4 linked regions of the Drosophila melanogaster genome follow. The protein of the gene in region 4 interacts with the protein of the main gene of each other region in a pairwise test. Each region holds a gene or a part of one and is shown on either strand. Other genes may lie near its edges. The genes, in order: CycY, CG43658, Pvf3 and CG5783.

The links.
Region 1: the proteins of CG5783 (region 4) and CycY interact in a two-hybrid assay, tested with the Drosophila melanogaster proteins (one large-scale study listed by BioGRID).
Region 2: the proteins of CG5783 (region 4) and CG43658 interact in a two-hybrid assay, tested with the Drosophila melanogaster proteins (one large-scale study listed by BioGRID).
Region 3: the proteins of CG5783 (region 4) and Pvf3 interact in a two-hybrid assay, tested with the Drosophila melanogaster proteins (one large-scale study listed by BioGRID).

Annotation. Positions count from the first base shown.
Region 1 is NT_033779.5:11,809,590-11,815,636, reverse strand, and holds CycY (cyclin Y), read left to right. Parts: upstream 1-1,856; 5' UTR 1,857-1,912; intron 1,913-2,954; 5' UTR 2,955-3,205; coding exon 3,206-4,043; intron 4,044-4,137; coding exon 4,138-4,520; 3' UTR 4,521-5,545; downstream 5,546-6,047.
Region 2 is NC_004354.4:17,558,171-17,563,192, reverse strand, and holds the start of CG43658 (uncharacterized protein), read left to right. Parts: upstream 1-2,012; 5' UTR 2,013-2,364; intron 2,365-5,022.
Region 3 is NT_033779.5:7,154,661-7,159,525, reverse strand, and holds the start of Pvf3 (PDGF- and VEGF-related factor 3), read left to right. Parts: upstream 1-1,830; 5' UTR 1,831-2,860; coding exon 2,861-4,039; intron 4,040-4,865.
Region 4 is NT_033779.5:18,154,262-18,157,696, forward strand, and holds CG5783 (uncharacterized protein), read left to right. Parts: upstream 1-1,781; 5' UTR 1,782-1,815; coding exon 1,816-2,022; intron 2,023-2,080; coding exon 2,081-2,307; intron 2,308-2,363; coding exon 2,364-2,540; intron 2,541-2,593; coding exon 2,594-2,846; 3' UTR 2,847-2,901; downstream 2,902-3,435. Other genes in the region: CG17681 (uncharacterized protein), read left to right, coding at 1-149; CG15155 (uncharacterized protein), read left to right, coding at 605-799, 859-1,091, 1,154-1,267, 1,330-1,564; JMJD4 (jumonji domain containing 4), read right to left, coding at 2,948-3,435.

The sequences.
Region 1 (6,047 bases), 6.3 Mb from region 4:
ACGTTTCTACAAAACATATTTATTTTTATACATGAGCGCGGGACAAAAGTGAGAGCAGAAAGTGGAGGGCTTGAGTCGCAGGAGGATTTGATTTCCTTTCGTTTCGGTTTTCCTTTTCCTTAATCAACTTGAAATGTTTTCAAACGTTTTTCAAAATGTCTGATAGCGGGACCATTCTTTTAAGATTTACCACTGCTCTTTACCAATTTGAGCAGGGCGAAAATCGTAGGGAAATTCGAGGTGGAAAAGCCGCCGAGCGATAGCAGCAGAAAGTCAAAGGGCAGTGGTAAAAGTGCTTAGCAGTAAGGTACCAAATTATCAGCTGAAATTGGGATCATAGCTTTATTAAGGTAGTCGATAAATGTACGAACAAATCGTGGTTGCAGATGTGTATAGCGGATGTCTACTAGTAGCCATAGCCACAAATTAAAAACAAACACGAACAGAACAGACAGAACAAACAAACGTACACAGCAGATTAATCTACTCCTAAACATTAATGGGATAAATATAGCGCCAGAATACCTATTATGCGGACCGTAAATATTATTGAACAACCAGTGTATGTTAGTGTATATCAAACTTGAACGCTCAAAGCGATGCGCATGCATATATCGTATATATACATATATATATATATAGCGACCTCTCTCGAAAATCTGTACAAAGTCCTGATTAATATAGCGTTAGGCTGCAGACCCTCGAACAAAACAAAAAAAAAAAAACCGAAAAAGTTGTTATTTATCTCTGTTGAAAAATGGGAAATCCACAGAAACACTAATCGAACGTATGCAAACGGATATATATAAATATATATGAGGTTTACGATTCAATGTTATTAGCAAAAAGTAGTCTAGTAGTATCATTAACACACACATAGACATATTATATAGTTCCGGCCGATGTGCAAACTTGTTAACGAGAGAAACTTAGCTGATGGAACAATATGAAATACACACTTGCATACGGTAAATAAGTTGAAAGCAATCATTACATTTAAACAATAAATATAAACTACTTAACTATAAAGTCCCTAATGGAAAAAAAATATATATAAAATACATTTTGTGTAAATACAACTTGCACAGGATGCAAAAAGATGTAGTATATTAGCGGAATGCACTCTAACTAAAGGGAATACTGTAGCCATCCCACACCAACTAAAAACCGAAGGAATCGCATATTACTGAGATCTGTAAATAACTTTGTTTCATCTGTTCATTTCTAGCCCAGTTATTTATATATCGCATAAGCAAACTAATTGTGTACTTTACAAGTTATCTCGAAACAAAAGCCTACTAATGAAACGTTTTTAATTTTCCTACTATGTTAAACTCAACATTTAATATGCATAAACTAACGGCGATGGTCTAAAAATTGCAAAACAAGTATTTGAGATAAAGGGTATATGGCTGAGATGTATGCTTATTACGAAATACTTTCAAGTAAATTATAATAACACCATATGACTTTTAATATACTAATAAAAATTCTTATTAAACCTAACTGGGGACGGTTTTTTTTTAAAGGAGTTTACATATTTTGTTTAATTAAAGGCCCGCCCTTTTTTTGAATTTAGTGCTGCCACATAGTCATGTGTGATATCGATAAGTGGCGTTTCAGTACTTTACTTATCGACTTTCTTACATTGCCCTTTTATATATCCTTTTGTTGTTATTATTGTAATTGTGAATGATCATATATTTCAGGGACTAATTTATTACTTATTAATAATATTTAAGATTTTACGCAATGTTTTTAAAACTAGGCACTAGAGCATTTATCTGGTATTTTTATACCGCAAAATGCCATCTCTTAGCCGGATGGTGTTTTTGTGCTAACCATCAACGGGCACACCGCCACTGATATCTATCGATATTTATAAAATACGATACATTTCATTTTCGAGCAGGTAATTAAACAAAAAAACGCGAGAAAACACCAAAGATGTGTGAAAAGTGTTGCATTACTACCTTGCCCAACTGACGGCCATCGCCTCATCAGTGAGATAGCCACCAATTAAGCCTAATCACCCAATAATCCCGATTTGGTAGTCATTCGTGGGTGTTTCTCCGGGCAGAGGCCGAGCAGCGCTGCCGGCGACGACAGCGGCGCCAGCGTTCATTCATTCATTCACTGCAATGATTAATGTGCGGGGAAAAAACAATTCAAGTGATTTGAGCAGAGATAGTAGGAATCTAGGAACTGGGCAATCAGCTGCCCACCCGGTGACAAATTATCCAATATCTCCGGCCTTCCGCGCCGTAAACAAAGTCACAAGCTTCGCTGCCGCCCCGCCCCTCCCAGAAATGGGAAGAAGAAGAAGAAGTTAGAGTCGTGCTCCCCACACAGAAAACAAGAAATCGGCGAAAATAAAGCAAAGACCTCGCCAAATTAGGCAATTAGGTTAATTAACTTTTCGCACAACAATCTGGCCGGCCTTTAAGCCAAAACGATTCCGCCTATAAACAGAGCAAATATAAATGGTAGATAGTGAAAATAGCACAACTTGCAGATCGAATGCTGAAATACCCTAACCAAAGTAACCCTCCTAGGCTAAGTTCGATATGCATGGCATATTTGGTTTTCGTCATGTGACTTCTTTCACGTTATTATCTTTAAAAACAACAAAGTTTTTATCATATCTACAGCTGACTTTCCCTACAATTTATATGATAGAAGTGCCCCCAAACTTTCAAATCAATCAAATAGTCAGTCTTATCAGGTCATTCAAATTTGTAGCACTAGAAAGTGTTATTAACAATAGTTTAAATGCCACCACAAGTAGTGAAAAAGTAGTCAAAACTTCTCTAAAATCGAATAGCACCCTCCCCAAAAAAGGGCAGTGCAATTAATAATGGGTTATGGGATGAGAATGAGAACAGATTTGCAGATAAGATCGAATGAAAGCCGAGGCTAAGCGTTATCTATATACATACATATACTCTTTGCAGCAAACGCTCGACGACGGGCAGCGGTAATTGTGGAGCGATAGAAACGCCAGCGCCATGCCCATAGACATAGACGCACGACGACCAAGTGCCAAAAGCGAGAACCGAGCGTGAGCGACTGCCAGGAGCAGGATCCGTAACCACGGGGTCCATCCGCTAGTCAAGAGAGAGTGAGCAAGCGAGCGAGTGAGTGCCAAGCCAAGTTTGCATTTAGTTTGAGCGCCCGACCAACCGAACCAATCCGAAACGGCAAAATGGGCAACAAGAACTCGTGCTGCGCGTACTCCAGTCCGCAGTCGGACCGCAAGTCTAAGGACATGCCGCCCGTCTTCGAGGAGCGGATTATCCAGCTGGGTCATCCGCCGCACACGTCACAGCACCAGTTGGACGGCCACCATGGATCCGCGTCGGCGGTGCACCTGCATCACCATCATCACGGCCACAATCAGCAACAGAATCAGCAGGGTGGCGGCGGTGACAACTATGAGAACCAGCAGAATCTGCAGCACATCTCCGAGCGAGAGGCGCTGGAGGGCGAGGAGGATCCGTCGGTCGATCCCACTGCAGCCACCATGTTCCTGGAACGATCAAAGGTGGAGAACGGCGGCATGACGCGCAAGCGTTCGCAACAGCAGATTGCCCAGCAGGCGGGCAGCGGCGGCGGAGGAGGCGGCGGCGGTGGCGGCGGCAGTACTCCCGGTGGCAATAGTTGCGGCGGTGGTGGCGGCATGAAGAAGAGCTCCTCCTGCTCGACGATCTATCTGGACGACAGCACTGTGTCGCAGCCGAATCTTAAGAATACGGTCAAATGCGTCTCACTGGCCATTTACTATCACATCAAGAATCGGCAATCGGATCGCCGGCTGGACATCTTCGACGAGAAGCTTCATCCGCTGACCCACGACCAGGTGCCGGATAACTATGACACGCACAATCCGGAACACCGGCAGATCTACAAGTTCGTGCGCACGCTCTTTAACGCCGCCCAGCTGACGGCCGAGTGTGCGATCATCACGCTAGTCTACCTGGAGCGGCTACTCACCTACGCCGAGCTGGATGTGGGACCCTGCAACTGGAAGCGCATGGTGTTGGGTGAGTGGAGTGCTGCAAGCATCAGATATTCAGAACAAGCAGTAGATCACTAATTTGGTATAGCTTACTAATTTCTACTATTGATGTTCTGCAGGTGCCATTCTCCTCGCCTCAAAGGTGTGGGATGACCAGGCCGTTTGGAATGTAGATTACTGCCAAATACTCAAAGACATCACCGTGGAGGACATGAACGAGCTGGAGCGCCAGTTCCTCGAGCTGCTGCAGTTCAACATCAATGTACCGTCCTCGGTGTACGCCAAATACTACTTCGACCTGCGCACGCTCGCCGAGGCCAACGAGCTCAACTTCCCCACGGAGCCGCTGTCCAAGGAGCGGGCCCAGAAGCTGGAGGCCATGTCGCGTGTGATGCAGGACAAGGTCACTGCCGAGGCACTGAAGAATGGGATCAAGAAGTGGTCCTCCATGGACAACATCAGTCAGGGCGGGCCGCGACGCAGCGTGGCCATACTATCGTGATTTATATTAGCTTACTAAAACCGAACAACCAACCAACAGCAGCAATGAGATCCGTACTCTGTAGTCCGTAGTCCGATCGAACGTCATTTGAGAACCGTAGCTCTGCGCTGAATCAGATTTTGCACACAGATTCAGATACATTTCGTAGGCCACCCGGTTGCATAAGCTTTTGCGGGTGGCTTTTTAGCCAGCACACAGACTCTAAAAGGAACACCCAAATACGTGCAGAAAGAATCACAGTCTTATATACAATATATACATACACGAAGAAAAGCGTTTTAACCACACGTCTCGAATTAAGGACCACTTTTTACATATACGTACATGCGATCGATGTATGTAAGCGAAACTACCGATGCAGTCATGGATTTGGATGATGATTTTAAACAGAGACACAGAAGTACTACTACAGCAACGCGTAACCAATTGCCAAACGAAAGATCACAGAAGCAGAAAGAGATACAGAAACCTAAACCGAACAGTAGAGAATTGTTTGTACAAAACGGCTTAAATAATATTGTAATTGACTTGGCCACCTAATCCAGCTGGCATCTAAGCAATTTAATCTCAACGGTTGGCCACGGCCACCAAATTGTCATTTACTTAGCGCGTCCGCGCCCAAAAAAAGAAAAGAAAAACATTTCCCTGTACATTTGTTACGAATTTAATTTGTTTACCTTACATCCATGTTTTCTTAATAACTCAATATGATTTCGTGTGATTCTTATATAGTTTCCATTTAGCTTTATATACGATGAACGATATTCGGCTTCCCCGCGTCAGGCTTCAGGCACAAATCGATTTTCTGGGGGCGCGGCCTGCGGCAAGTTGATTTGTTTTTTTTTGGTTCTTAGCATTAGAAAAACAAACAAAATCCGAGCGAGAGTTGCAAGGAGCACAGCGCAATATTAACCCAAAAGATTTGTGAGTAAATTAATGTACTAGACATATAAGGATACGAATTATATGCAAAATGTATTTTATTTTGTAATTTATTTTACGATAAAGCTAAATAAAAGCAAATCAAAGAAATAGACTTTCTATAACTTAGTTTTTGTCACTTTTTTTTCGAAAACGTGGGTTTTGAAAACGAAAGCGCGCTTATTCGAAGTCAAAAACATGGCCATATGAAACAGAAAGTTTTTGAAACATTTTTTTTTTTTTATATAGAAAGGACTTCTGGCTATTCTATGTATAAAAACATTTTAGAAACATATCTTATTCTAAATAAGAAGATCGATCATAGGATTTCTTTCGAAAATCGTATAAAATGTATTGTATAATCCACTTATTTTCTTTCCCTCCCACAAAATATGGATTCAAAAATCTCGAACAAGATTATGTGGAAAAGTATTGATAATCACCTAAACACATTGATTTTCAACATTATAAATACTCCACTTGCAAATGCAAAAAAAAAACTCTTTAGAAATAGTCAAGATCCTACTATTTAAGTTTATACTTTCAGAAAATCTTATAATTCCAATTACACTTTATAACTTATTAAATTTACGCTGCTAATTATTT
Region 2 (5,022 bases), on a different chromosome or scaffold from region 4:
GTGATCTGCTGGCTGCGATTAGAAAATGATTTACACCTCTGGCTGCAAAAAAAGAGAATTCAGGATAAAAGATGGGCCTTACAACGTCTGCGAAACTGGTTGGAAGAAGAAGCTGATGTTCTTCTCCCTCTCCTTCATCTTCTTGTTCTTGGCCAGCTCTGCTTCTTCCCAGTATGCAATTACACATTTTATTATTATTAACGTTAATGTCGCCCATGGGAGGGCACTAACGCCCGGCTCCACATAAAAGGCGCTTATTAATAAGAAATTGCAATAAACTACAAGACACAGCAGAACGTACAGCAATCCGTTGCTACACTACAAGAATTTTGCATATGTGCTATTTCGCGCAAGAAAATGTAAACTGAAATTAATACATTTCATTTCGCAGAACCATTTTTAATTATTCTTATACGTTCTTTATTTTTATATATTAATTATTCATTTAAGTTATATATGAGTAAATTTGTAATGCTTTTAGACGTTCAAGGCCACACTTTTTTTAAGTGCATTCCGGTACGCTGGCGCTTAAAGGAGCAACAGCTGGCGTATGAGTGAGAGGCCAGACGGTGGGAGAGGGGCACCGAAACAGAAGAGAGTGTGAGAAAGGGAAAGAGAGATCCCAGCCGGCGAATGCGCGGCAAAAACAAAAGGCAACGGGAGAAGCTCGGCGAAACAGCTGGCGAAGAAAGTCGCTCTCTTTGGCTTATCTCTTTTTAACCCTCTTCTGCCTGCCATTGCTTTTCTTAACCCTTGCGTATCCTTGTTGAGAGTAAATCAAGCGCTCCACATATTTTATTAAGTTGGAAACCAGTAATAAAGTAGGAAGCTCGCTGCCAGCTGCAGCTCACACACACACCTACACGCACACACTAACCGATGCACTCTTCTCCGGCGCTGGGGTTGCTGTTGTTGCACTGCCTGCTGCACGCGCGAAAATGCTAAGTTGCCAGGAGCGGATTCAGTTGGTTGGCTGCATATATGACAACCAACGAAGATTTTCTAACTCAGTATTAGTTAGACCATCATTTCGAGAAAACAGAAAAGTATAAACTTTTTTTCCGTATCATCGCAGTTATGAACCAAGCAGACTTAATTTTTTTTGTAACAAAACTAATAGATCGGCTTAGATTGATGAACTAACAAAATTAATCAGGTAACCGTATTCCCATAAAACATTGCCTACTTTTTCGGGCATTAGGTAAACTACAATATAAACTATACCCTGCACCGTTTTGAAAGTGATCCGCACCTGTTCTGAAGCATTTTCTGCTCTCTCCCTCGCTTCCCTTCTTCGATCCCACTCTTCGTAGAGGCTCAAAACGTGCGCCTAACAAAATGCCGGTTTAAGTTTTGCGTTGTTTGGCGTATACGTAATGCAAAAGGAGAGCGAGAGTAGTGTGCCGAAAACGAGAGAGTGTGTGAGAGAGCGGAAAAGAGCGCGCGCGTCGCTAGTTGCTTTTCGTCTGATTGGAACTCCAAACTCCAATTCCAGCTCCAACTCCTACTACAAATACAACTACAGCTCCACTGCATCAGCATGTTGTTGTTGCTGCTTTAGCTGTTTTTTGTTTTTGTTTCATCTGGCAGTTCTTGTTCCTTTCCTTCTGCACTCCATTCGCACACTAGCTCAGGTCCACAGCAGCAGTCAAAGCAATAGCAGCTACAACTGCGCAGCTATTAAATGTTTTCAAAATACCAAAGTTCTTAAAAAAATATGTATACTAATTATGTTTTTTTGATAAAATAATGTTTAAGCTATTTCAAAGATTGAAACCAATTTTATGGTTTGTGATGTGCATTGTTAAATTAAATTACTTACTTACTTACACTTACTTTTTAGCAATACTAAGTTCACAATAAACGTCGCTTCCATTCAATCATTAACTTAAAACAAGCTCTAAGCCATTTGGGCATTAATTCTTTTTCCGTGCCTGTGGCGAGCAAACTGCATTTGCGGCACTGCCGGCGTCGTCGACGTGGGGACGTCGCTGCGTCCGTGGGATTCGGCCGCAGTTGGATTTTGGTGCTGCTCGCGCGAGGACGTCTCCTCTCCTTAAACTTCTGCTGGGGCTCTCTTCGAAGAGAGCGCTAATCCTGCGAAGAGCGTCGTTTTTAAGTCGCGATCAGAAACAACAGTAACCACAACCTGGTGGCCAGCAATTCTTACCAGTTTTTAGAAAGAGCCACGAAAAAAATGAAGTAGTGTGAAATATTATATTTTCATTTTGTGTGTGCGTGTGTGTGCGGTTTTCCTTTAATTTCGTTACACTTCTTTTTTTTTGCGATTTTTGTTTATGTGCCAAACTAGTTTCGAGTTCATTGAATTTGCGGCGCCGTTGTCAACCGATCGTTGCTGAAAACGTAAGTGCAGCTTTTTAAGTAGCTAAGGATGCGTTTGCCGCAGGACATTTGCGGTCACGTGGCAGCTGCCGCCACCTGCGAAAACCGCAAAACGAAAAAGCCGCCAAAACATTAGCACTTGAATGGAAAAGTATTTCGCAAATTAGTTAAATAAGGGTTATAAAAGTGGCAGAAAAAGTATTTGTAGTGCACCAAAATTGAATATTTTTTTCCTTAGAACTGGAAGCGTTGTCTGTGTTTTTTAAACAATAATTGGCATGAAATTTCAAAAAATCGAAAATCATATACTTGACCGAAAAAAAAAGAAAAATATTACGTGAATTTATTTTATGTATATTAAGTTGTAACTTTAGGGCTTAAATCGCGATATAAAGTTTTCACATATTATATTTTCTGAACATCTCTTTTTAGACACTTTCTTAAAATACAAATAAATTTCAGAGTTGTCAATTTTTGGGTGAGAGCAGGTTTCCCCTTTTTAGCAGACTCACTACATACATTTATATTAACAACAATAACTTGGCTCTTTTGTCTCACAAGCAATTGGCTCGAAATGTTGTCGCGTCGCCCTTAGCTGTATCCTTTGTTTGGTCCTTGGCCATTAGGATCCCTTTTAATTAAGATGAATAACTTGCAGTTTTTATACGCCACAGAAATCGAAATTTCATCGCCGGCATTTGGTTGTTGCTTTATAAAGAGCTTTAAAACCAAACTTTTAAAGCATGGAAATAATTTAGTTTTTGTCGAAATACGTTAATAAACCTTCAGATAAGATTTACTGTTTGTTTATTTGTTTGTACAATTTATTACTTTGTCCATTTTTTTTTTTACTTTTTGTTGTACTTTGCTAGAAGTTTCCATCTCAAAGCGTTAAGTTTTTCTAGCATTTTGGCACAGCTTAAAAGTTGGCAAGTGCCAAAAGTTCAAGCGCGCTGCTCACCTTTCAATTAGCCGGGAATTCAGAGCGAATCTAATTAGTTGGCCAACATGGTGGTGGAAAGTGACGAGTCCTCTGATTTCCTGGCTCCCTGATTGCTTCCAAAAGCTGATCGATCATCAAAAGACACAACCGCCACGCAAAAAGGTAGCAAAAAGTAAACAAACTAAAAATCAAGCTACCGAAACAAAAAATGTACGAATTCTGGACTGTCGAAATGTTTTGGCAGTTTCAGCAGGGTGCTGTTAAAAAATGAATTCAGGAATTTCAGAAGTGTGGCCAATCATCAAACTGAATGAAGAAAAAAGTGCCCCTTTGGTTGACTCTTCCTGTTACATTTCACAAAGAAACATAAACGAATAGAAAGGAAAGTTGTATATTATAATCTTAGATATATTAACCGATAAATGTCAAAAATGTGTGTGTGACACGCAGTAAAGAATGTTAAATTGAATTAGGGGAAAAAGTATTACAAAAAAAAAAACAAAGTTCTTTGAATACCAGTTCATTACATTTTTTGTACATTACTTGACGAATGTAAGGACCTTTTAAGCAACCGAAAAATGCAAACAATTTGAGCAGCCCTCCGCTGATTTCGCTTATTAACTAAAATAAATCCGTCCAAACGGAAAGGTGCAGAAGGACAGGGCCGTTGGCCAAGTGCTACTGGCCAACTAGCTGACCATTTCCCTGTTTTGCCTTTTTTTTGTGTTTTTTTTTTTTTGTTAGCCTAGCTGCTGCTGCTTTATGTTTGCCTTTTATTTTGGCCACAAGTTCTAGTTAGTACGAGGCGGACGAAGGCGAGTTCATAGAGCCAAAAGAACCGGTCTTGGAAAGTCGTCTAAATGTTTCTCTTACCTTCGGGCACTGCAAGAAAAAACTAATTACGAAATAAGAGATATATAAAACATTTGGTTTAATGTGATCAGACCATCACGGTAGATTTAACTATCTTGGTGCGCTTCGTCACAACGTGGACTGCAAGCCTAAAAGATTTCCTAATCAGTATTACCTAACTATTAAAGTCATGATAAATGAATTAATGAAAATGAGGATGTGCTTCTCGAAAACCAGACTCGGCATGAAGTTCCCATGCTTTTTTATCAGTGCACCTTTTTATCCCCGTCCAAGTCGAAGTCCGAGACTTTTCGATGTCGATGCTGAAGGCCCACTAAAATGTCTGGCTGTGTGAGTGTGCGAGTGTGTAGTGGCTCCTTCCACGGAGTATTCATTCCCAGAGGAATGTGTTAAAGTGTCTAAAGCTGTTTGCCTTCCCCCCGAACGCGCCCCCCCCCTCCCCCACCTCAACCATCCATCCAAATCGCCAAATAGAAAATTCTGAACTCGAGGAGCAGCATAAAATACAAAGCCGAACGCATCAGAATGGCAACGGCGATTTATAAGATAGTCCCACAGAGCGCAGAGGAAAAATAATATCAAATATCAGGGCTTAATTGATTTTTTTCTTCGCCTTTTTACCCCTTTTTATAATGGATCTGACTCATTTGGTAGAGCTTATAAGTTATATAAGCATCATAAAAAGTACATGAAAGCTTTTTAATGCATCAAAATGTTTTTAAAATATGAATTTGCTATATGTGCTCCAATAATCTGTTAAATAGTAAAGTTAATTGCATGTGATTGCTGTTACAAAATGTTGTAATAAAATAGAGAAGGATGTACAAGGCTAAATTGCTACCTTAATATATAATAAAACATAC
Region 3 (4,865 bases), about 11 Mb from region 4:
GGTCGAAGTTGGGGACGCGCTCAACTGAAGTGAAGTGCAATGTAAATTGCCTCATGATTATTAAATTGCCTCTTACTGCTGCACGGACTTAGTTTTCGGGGAGTCGTCGTTGAAAACTTGTTGAGAAGTTGAGAATGTTGCAAATTAGTTGACTTAACTTGGCTTAGGGGCTTAACCCCGAAAAATGGGTTGTGGGCGCATATGTGATGCCTGATATTTTTGATAAACTTAATTGTATATGAGTTTACCGAAACGTTACTGATATAATAATCAATAACTTCTCTTAAAAAACATATATATGCTATAAGATTAGATGTAGGTATATATTTGGGCAAACTAATTTTATTTTTTACAAGATTCCATGCCTCATTGTCTGAAATCATACGTAACCAAATTGAGCGTTAGATTCAACACCCTCTATAGGCTTTTATAAGCAAATCGCACATGTGGCTTTATAGCTTATCACCTACCGAAACTCACCCCAAAGCAAACACAATGTACACACATCAAACAATGATATAACAATCTTTACAATCTTCAAACGAAAGAAAACGAAACTTGTTTGCCTTGGAGCTTAAAAAAATCAAACAAGAAAGGCCATAAGAAAAATTTTTGGGACGGGGAAGTATTTAAAGATCGACAAAGGGAGAGAACATAACTATAAAGAACCTGAAGAACTAATTCACTGCGACTATCTATCAACAATAATTCGCTATAATCAGCTATCGTATCATCTTTGATTTAGTGGGAACCTCACATATCTTTTATTGATCGCCTGACAAATCCTATTTGCACGCCCAGCGTTGAAAATCAATTTTCCGGCTATGGAAATATGGTTAGGAGAATAATAAAATGTTCTTTAAGTCTTCATTTCAGGCTCCAACCCCTTCTTTTTTCTCGACTCTTTTATCATCGATCAGTCTTAGGACGGGCCACATTTTTTATGATCATGCTAAGAAGTTTACTCGTTCTAAAATCGGTGACTCACGGGTGGAAACCTTTTCGTTTTTATACACATTTCGTTTAATGGCAATTAGTTGGAAAATTTGTTCTTCAATGCGACTTGTCCGCCGTTCAAGGATATTAAAGTCTAGAGTTCTTGGAAATCACACATTTTGTGGTTCGGTAAAACCAACAGAAGATCTGTGTTGGAGGTGGAAATAAAAATCCATCTCATTATTATTATTATGTAATGAATGAAGTCTGTGCCCACTGCCCACACGAGGAGCAAAAATCAGCAGCCAACGCACAACAATCTTGAGAATTAAACAACTTCAGAAGAAGTTCTCAGACAACTCAGCGAAAGTAGAAGACATGGGCGTACAGCCAAAGCTGCTGTTAGGCTTCAGATGAAGATGATTGCTGCACTAAGGAAAAATATATTACATAACACTTCTAAAAATAAATTAAATTAACTAGGCAGTTATTCGAACTTAAATAAAGATAGTAAAATTTTTTAAAAAATATTTTTAGGATTGATCTTAAAATGTTTGTTTCCATTATCCTTAACGTATCCTTTTCTTTTTTGTAGAAGTGTACAACTTACAGAAGTTCCAGATTGTGTGGGAGATTGCTGCTGACATTTTATTTTATGACGCTACATGCACAATGTCCGACTGAAATTATATTCTGCCTCTTAAACTGGTTAGACTAACGAATTTCCAGGCTGATCAGCCGGATTGGTAATAGATTTTGTCGTAGTTTTCAGTTTTCCCGCTGTCGCCTCATGTTGCTGGCATCATGTTGCGACTAGATGCTCTTTTGTGGATCGCAACATGTGTTGCCAATGCGCATCTGCCGCGACTGAAATCCATACGGAATCCGTGTGTCAGTCGTTATCTGAACGTCGGGAACTGTGGATTTGTCCGCCCCTACGTGGAGCCACGCGATCTGAACTTACCATTTACCGGAGCCAAACGGAAGTGCCATATCTCCATCTATTCCTATGGAACTCCGCCATCTGGCACTGGAAATCAAAACAAACAAATCATTGCACAAACAAGCGCTAAAGCATCGCACATACAGATATATACTCCGGAGATATATACTCGGATGTGCGTGAGTGGATTGGTGGGTGTGTTTTTCTTGCCTCCTGGCATCGCGTCAAAAGTCGCGCGCGGATTCTGCGGCGGATTTATGGCCGCGGTAATTGGTTAAAGCTAAGAATTTAATAACCATTAATCACTGAGTGTGTGAACAAATTGGCAAAAGATCAAAGGAAAAAGAATAAAGAATATTATAAAAAAAAATGAATGATTTGTGGTGATTAGTGTTGAAGTGCTAATATTTGGAAATACAATTGAAAACGACAATAAAAAAGAGATAAATAAAAAATAAATTGACGTCGCGGTATATGGAATACCTATAAATTACAATAAAGAATAAACATATTGAAATGAAAAAAAAATAAAATGTTATCTTAATACTTAAATGAAGTTTCTAGGAATCTCACACAACGCATAAATAAAGCTATAAATGCAATGGTATAATTAACAAAGACCCCGAGTAATATTTTAATGACATATAAAAATTAACATCCAGTAAAACATTTTTTACGAGAACAATTAAAATTCCATTTACGAAAAAATAAACGACTTAATTCCAACTCTGAACAATTAATATTCCATTTTAAGCCGGTAATAACGAATTATTTTAACTTTCAACAAGTGTCAAAACAAAAAGTGACAATATTAATTGCGGATTGTGGGACAAAGGGAAATGTTTTAAACAAAACAAACGACAAAGGCAAGTGCCAACAAACGCATGTGAAAAATATCGACACAAAGAGCAGAGTATTCCTAGAAAAAAAGGCCAATATAAAACAATAAAATCCCCGCGGTGAAACGCAACGATCTTCGAAATGCATTGGCTAGTTCTGATACTAGTGCCCCTCGTCTGGGCCAATAGCAGTGATCTAAAGGGAGCACCTGTGATGACCACAGTAGCCCCGACTGGCGGTCATCGAAGTCCCCATCAGCAGCAGAGATTGCAGCAATTGCAGGAGGCGCAACAACTGGAGGCCCATCAGCAGCACCATCATCATTTGCGGCACGAACAGCATCTGCGGGCCGAACTGGAGGGCAACCATCAGCCGCCGATCGAGGATGTCGAGAAGAAGGCCTTCCTCGATCCCCAATTGCCCATGCAGCAGCATCACTTGCGTCATCACAATCGTCATCATGCGAGCTGGGAGCAGCGGGTATTTCCCTCGCTGCGTCATCAGCAGCACCGCTTGTCCATCGGACCGAGCACGGCCAAGAACCTAATGACCACCGAGGCACCCACAACCAGGCACCATGGCCTGATCTCCAATCACAGTCGCTATTTTGACAGGGACGGCATCTTTCCATCCTGGGCTGAGCCTCGAACCACCAGAGGTCCCAATTGGCGACAGGAGGTGGACTCGAGTGATTCCGACGAGGACAGCGATGAGGATGACGAAGATGACTACGATGAGTATGATGAGGATGGCGATACCTCGAATGGCGTTGATGAGGAACTGGCCCGACAAATGCCCAGATATTCGCTGTTCACCCAGAAGTTGCCACACATCGATTTAAAGGATACCGATTACAATGCGTACGACCAGTCGGATGAACTGGACATAGTTTCGAGTAGCAATCGCAACAGCAACAAGTATCCCAGCGTGGCCAATCCGCACGACAAGTCTGCTGGCAAGCGGAATATATTCGATTGGCTGTTCAAACATGATAGGGAAAAAGAGGCTGTTAAAAAGCCACACATCACAACTACTTCAACGACAACAACAACCTCAACAACCAGCACAGTAAAGCCCACAATAATGCGAACCGAAAGGCCAAAACTGCAATTAATTGATGCGAATCTAAAGAATGGCGGTGGCGAAGAGGACGACTCCAATGAGGATTCAGACTCCGAGTCGGAGGAGGGCTTCTCCAATGAACAGTGGAACAAAATCGAGCACCAACACCATCTCAGGCAGCAGAAACACCAGAAAGAACTACTGGCGATGCGAGAGAAGAGCCGGAATACCCCTCTCATAAGGAACATTGAGAATGAGGTGAGTCTGGCATTGCGCCCATTGTTCTGAATTCACTGATAAGTCTGCGGCATCCCGCCGATTTCATGATGTCATTAGCCATTGTTGTTGCTCTGACATTGCTCCATTATGTGGGATTTGGCTGTGGGGCTGCTTGGAGAGCCCCTGATAAGAGATTCCGTTCATAAACAGACAGCGATAGTAGTGATTGTGGCCACAAATGACCAACCAATCTTTTGGGGCCAGACTGTGATTCTGGTTTCGGTTTCACGTATGATTTTCATTTGTTGCTGATGGTTAGTCACGCCGAAAATCCGTCAGTAAACAAATAGATGTTCAAGTGCACTGAGCCAAATAATGGTATCTAAGCTATCGAGATTGTCTACAAATAAGAAGTATGTAAATATCTAAATTAGAATGAGTTGTGTTGCAATTGTATTCGTTTATCATTGTGAAGATGAATTGGTTGATTCCAGAACTCTCACTTTCATTTCGTAGCTAGAAAATTCTCGCAGTGCACTGCCATTACTCACCTCGGCATAACGCACTGACCATGGCTAATGCCGTTTGCATTTTGGCTTACAACAAAAACAGACATGTAGCTTTACTTTGTGTTTTGGTGCTCATGGCAAATGTTTACACAATGCGGCAAAGGTTGAAAGGGGGGGCGGTGAAGGTGAAGGAGGAGGGGAAAGGATAGCAGCTGGCTTTTGCCAATTCGGCACTTTTTGGCTGACCGCTAGCCATTCACAATGGCGGCCTGGCTAATTGAAACCAGTCAGAACGGCAACGAAAATCAACAAAATGCAACAACAATAACAATTAATTTGTTGCATTTGATTTGCAC
Region 4 (3,435 bases):
ATATTACGGCTTTGGTCAATATAAACAACAGTGCTGCCTGTCGTGTGTTTGAGAAACTCAACTTCAGGTTGATCCAGGACGAACACTACTACTGGAGCATGATTAAGCCAGCAGCAGGAGGCCAGATATCTTGGCCCTGCGACGAATAGGGCCCACACCGTTAGTATTATTGGCCAGAAATTGCTTACAAATGAATTGTTTGTATACCTTATATACCTTTGTAGTTGTAACCTTAAGAAATATATTCTTCAAACTAAGTACAGATGATGCTTGACGAGCTGCACTTCTATTTGGATATTTGATCGGAAAGGTTGTTTCGCTTGAAGTAAGTGTGCAGTCAGTTGAGAGCTAGCTTTTAGCCAGCTAAATATTTTCACAATTCCCCATTGCTGACTCAGTTTTAACTGCCACTTAGCAAATGATTCTGATCACATTCAAGCCAAAAGGCTTTCGGATATCTTGATCCGGCAGGGAATAGGCCCAGACAGCAAATAGAGATACAGCAAAGTCTACAGCGGCTAATATGCAAAATATCTAGAAGGTGCCCTGCTATCTCAGTGTATAAATTGAATCACCGTCTAGTTGCCAGGGATCAGTTTTCGAAATGGATCGTCTGCAGCAGGTCGGCGTTCAGCAGTTGGGTGATCTGAAGCGTGTTTTCACCCGGGAATGGCCAAAATACTGCAAGGAGTACTACTGCCTGGACACGTTTCTGGAGCTATATAAAAAGGACGATCAGCTGAAGGATGTGCAAGTCTATGCTCTTCCCAATCTAGAGCTCGGAATATTTGTGATCGTGGTATGAATGCGGTTGGTGGTTGTGCGATCTTTTATTTAATTTTTATGTGGATCGTTAAGGATCACTATCAGATATTTGTGGGCTTCCTGGAAGCTGAACAATCAGAAAGCCTTTTCAAGGAGTCCTTACTCAAGTTTAAGCTCTATGGAGGCGAACAGTTCGCCTCAATGCCAAAAAGGTATTTCAATGTTGCCAACGACATTATTCAAGCGAAGAATCTGAAACTAGATCTCGACTGTGTAACACTTTCCCTGGTCTTGAGCAAAGAGGAAGCCCTGCTTTTTCAAGTAGAGTAAGTTCATCCAAAAATATATATAGTGCATGTGCCTAATAAACCGCTCTAAACTTTAACAGACCTCCAGCCGGATTTTCCCTTAAGCCGGTAGATATAGACGATGCTCAGGTGATTAATGATCAATGGGAATGGAGTGAGCCGGATTCCCTTTCCGTGGTCCGCCGTCAAATTCTGTATGACACAGAAAGAAATTCATGCTATTAGAAATAAATTCTCAATTACTATTACTTCGCAGGGCTCCAGATGGCTTATTGGCAGTCCTTCAGGTCAAGACGACCTACAAACGCAGAGGCTTCGGCCAACTGATTGTGAAGGAATTTGCGAGACAAGAGGCTCTGCTGGGACGCGATACAATCACCGAAGTGGTTCCGGAAAACAAGGCATCCTTGGGCCTGTTCACCAAACTGGGCTTTAAAATCAACGACCAGTGTCACTGGCTGATGACGGAGCCGCCAAAAGGAGTTCGATAAGATTAAGGACTTGTTTATCTGTAAATGTTATTTTTTTTGTAGATTTAAATTATTAAAGCTGATAAGTTTTAGCAGCTGGCAAAAAATGTACTGGCTGGCCATAAGAAAACCACACGTAAGAGAATCTAACGATTTGAAGAGATTGCATGAAGAGAAATAGACAAGCTGCTTGATTGAGTCACCCAAACAACAATCAAATGAGCCATTTTCACTCGGTCGCTCGAAGGGGAAGATTGTTTCGCTCGACCAATATGGGTACTCGATTAGAAGTTATTGGGCTGAAAGATATCCAGGAGTTCCAACAGCTCTACAAGCAAAACTGGCCAAAATATTGCCAGGAATACTACTGCCTTGATAACTTTGTGGAATTTCTGAAAAAACAGCCCCATATGAGGAATATTAAGATGTACACATTGGATGCAAAACAAGCCAGAGATGAAGGTCTTTTTGTTATAGTGGTGAGTTCTACATATATGTATAGACTGCAACTCACTAAGAGAGGCGGCCCTCTCTTAGGATCGCTATCAACTATTCGTAGGTTGCTTGAACAACACGAACGGCCTTGTTGGAAAAGCTCTGGATTTACTGGACTGGTCGTCGGGTTTGAAATGCAGTTCTATACCCTCCAGACACATTGGTGCCCTGGATAGTCTGGTGGAGTCCAAAAAGTTGAATCTGGTGTACAGGGACTGCACGAATTTGTTTTTTATGAAAGCCAACGACGCTCTCAAGCTGAAAGTCGAGTAAGAAATAATAATCCATTTAACATAACGAGTTTTATATGATCTAAGTCTTGTAGACCTCCATCTGGATTTGTTTTAAAGTCGTTGAGTGTGGCAGATGCTCCATTGGTTAACGCAGAGTGGCCCAATCATCATGAGGGATCTTTGTTCTTCGTAGAAAGGCAGATTCGCCTGTGCGTCAGTGTTGGATTGTACCAGGAAGACACCCAGGAACTAGTTGCCTGGTGCATTAGGTAAGACGAATGTATTTTTATAAAGACACATTACCTGATATCGAAATCTGTAGGTTACAAGGCGGCTACTTGGGCGCCCTGCAAGTCAAAGATACACACAAGCGACGCGGATTTGGCAGTGTGGTGACTAGGGAAATAGCATACCGCCTAGCCGTCCAAGGTCACGATGTAATGGCTCTCGTGGGCCCCTCGAATAAGCCGTCATCGGAGATGTTCAGCAAACTGGGATTCCAGGTCATCGATCAATGCTACTGGCTAAGGACGGAACCCACCGGTGGGCAGTTCACATGGCCCGAGGGCGAGTAATTGGTGTTTAAATGTCTGTATTAAAATATTACGACTTTCGGTTGTATATGAATACAAGTATTGGTATAAAAATATGCCGAGGCATTTGAGCTGTGCTTATTCTAAAACTCTAAACGAGCGAGCAATCCCTGGCAGCGATCTTCTAATTGGAGGGGACTACACTGGATAGTCGGATCCTCTGTTAGAGTCCGGGTGATCTTCCATAAGCACTCGAGATCGTATTGCACATGATAATCGTTCATTGTGTAACTATCGAATAGTAAAAATTTGGTGGCTACGGTTCCCTCTGCCAATCGGCGAGCGGCTATAAACTCCAGTAGTTCTATAAAATCGAGGTAGTTGATACCAAAGCTGGCCCTCAGCATTGTCTGGCAGTGGGCCTCAAAGTTGTCCATCTGCTGGCAGTCGGAGATCTCATTGCAAACGGCCTTCAGGTTGTTCTTAAGGTTTTGCCAGACCATGGATATGTTGCAGCCATTGAACCAGTTGTGATTGACGGATATGGTGTCTGTTAGGTTCCACACCTGATGAAACCAGCCACTGGGCACGAAAACAGCTTCATTGGCCCGCTGATTAATGGTGTAATATC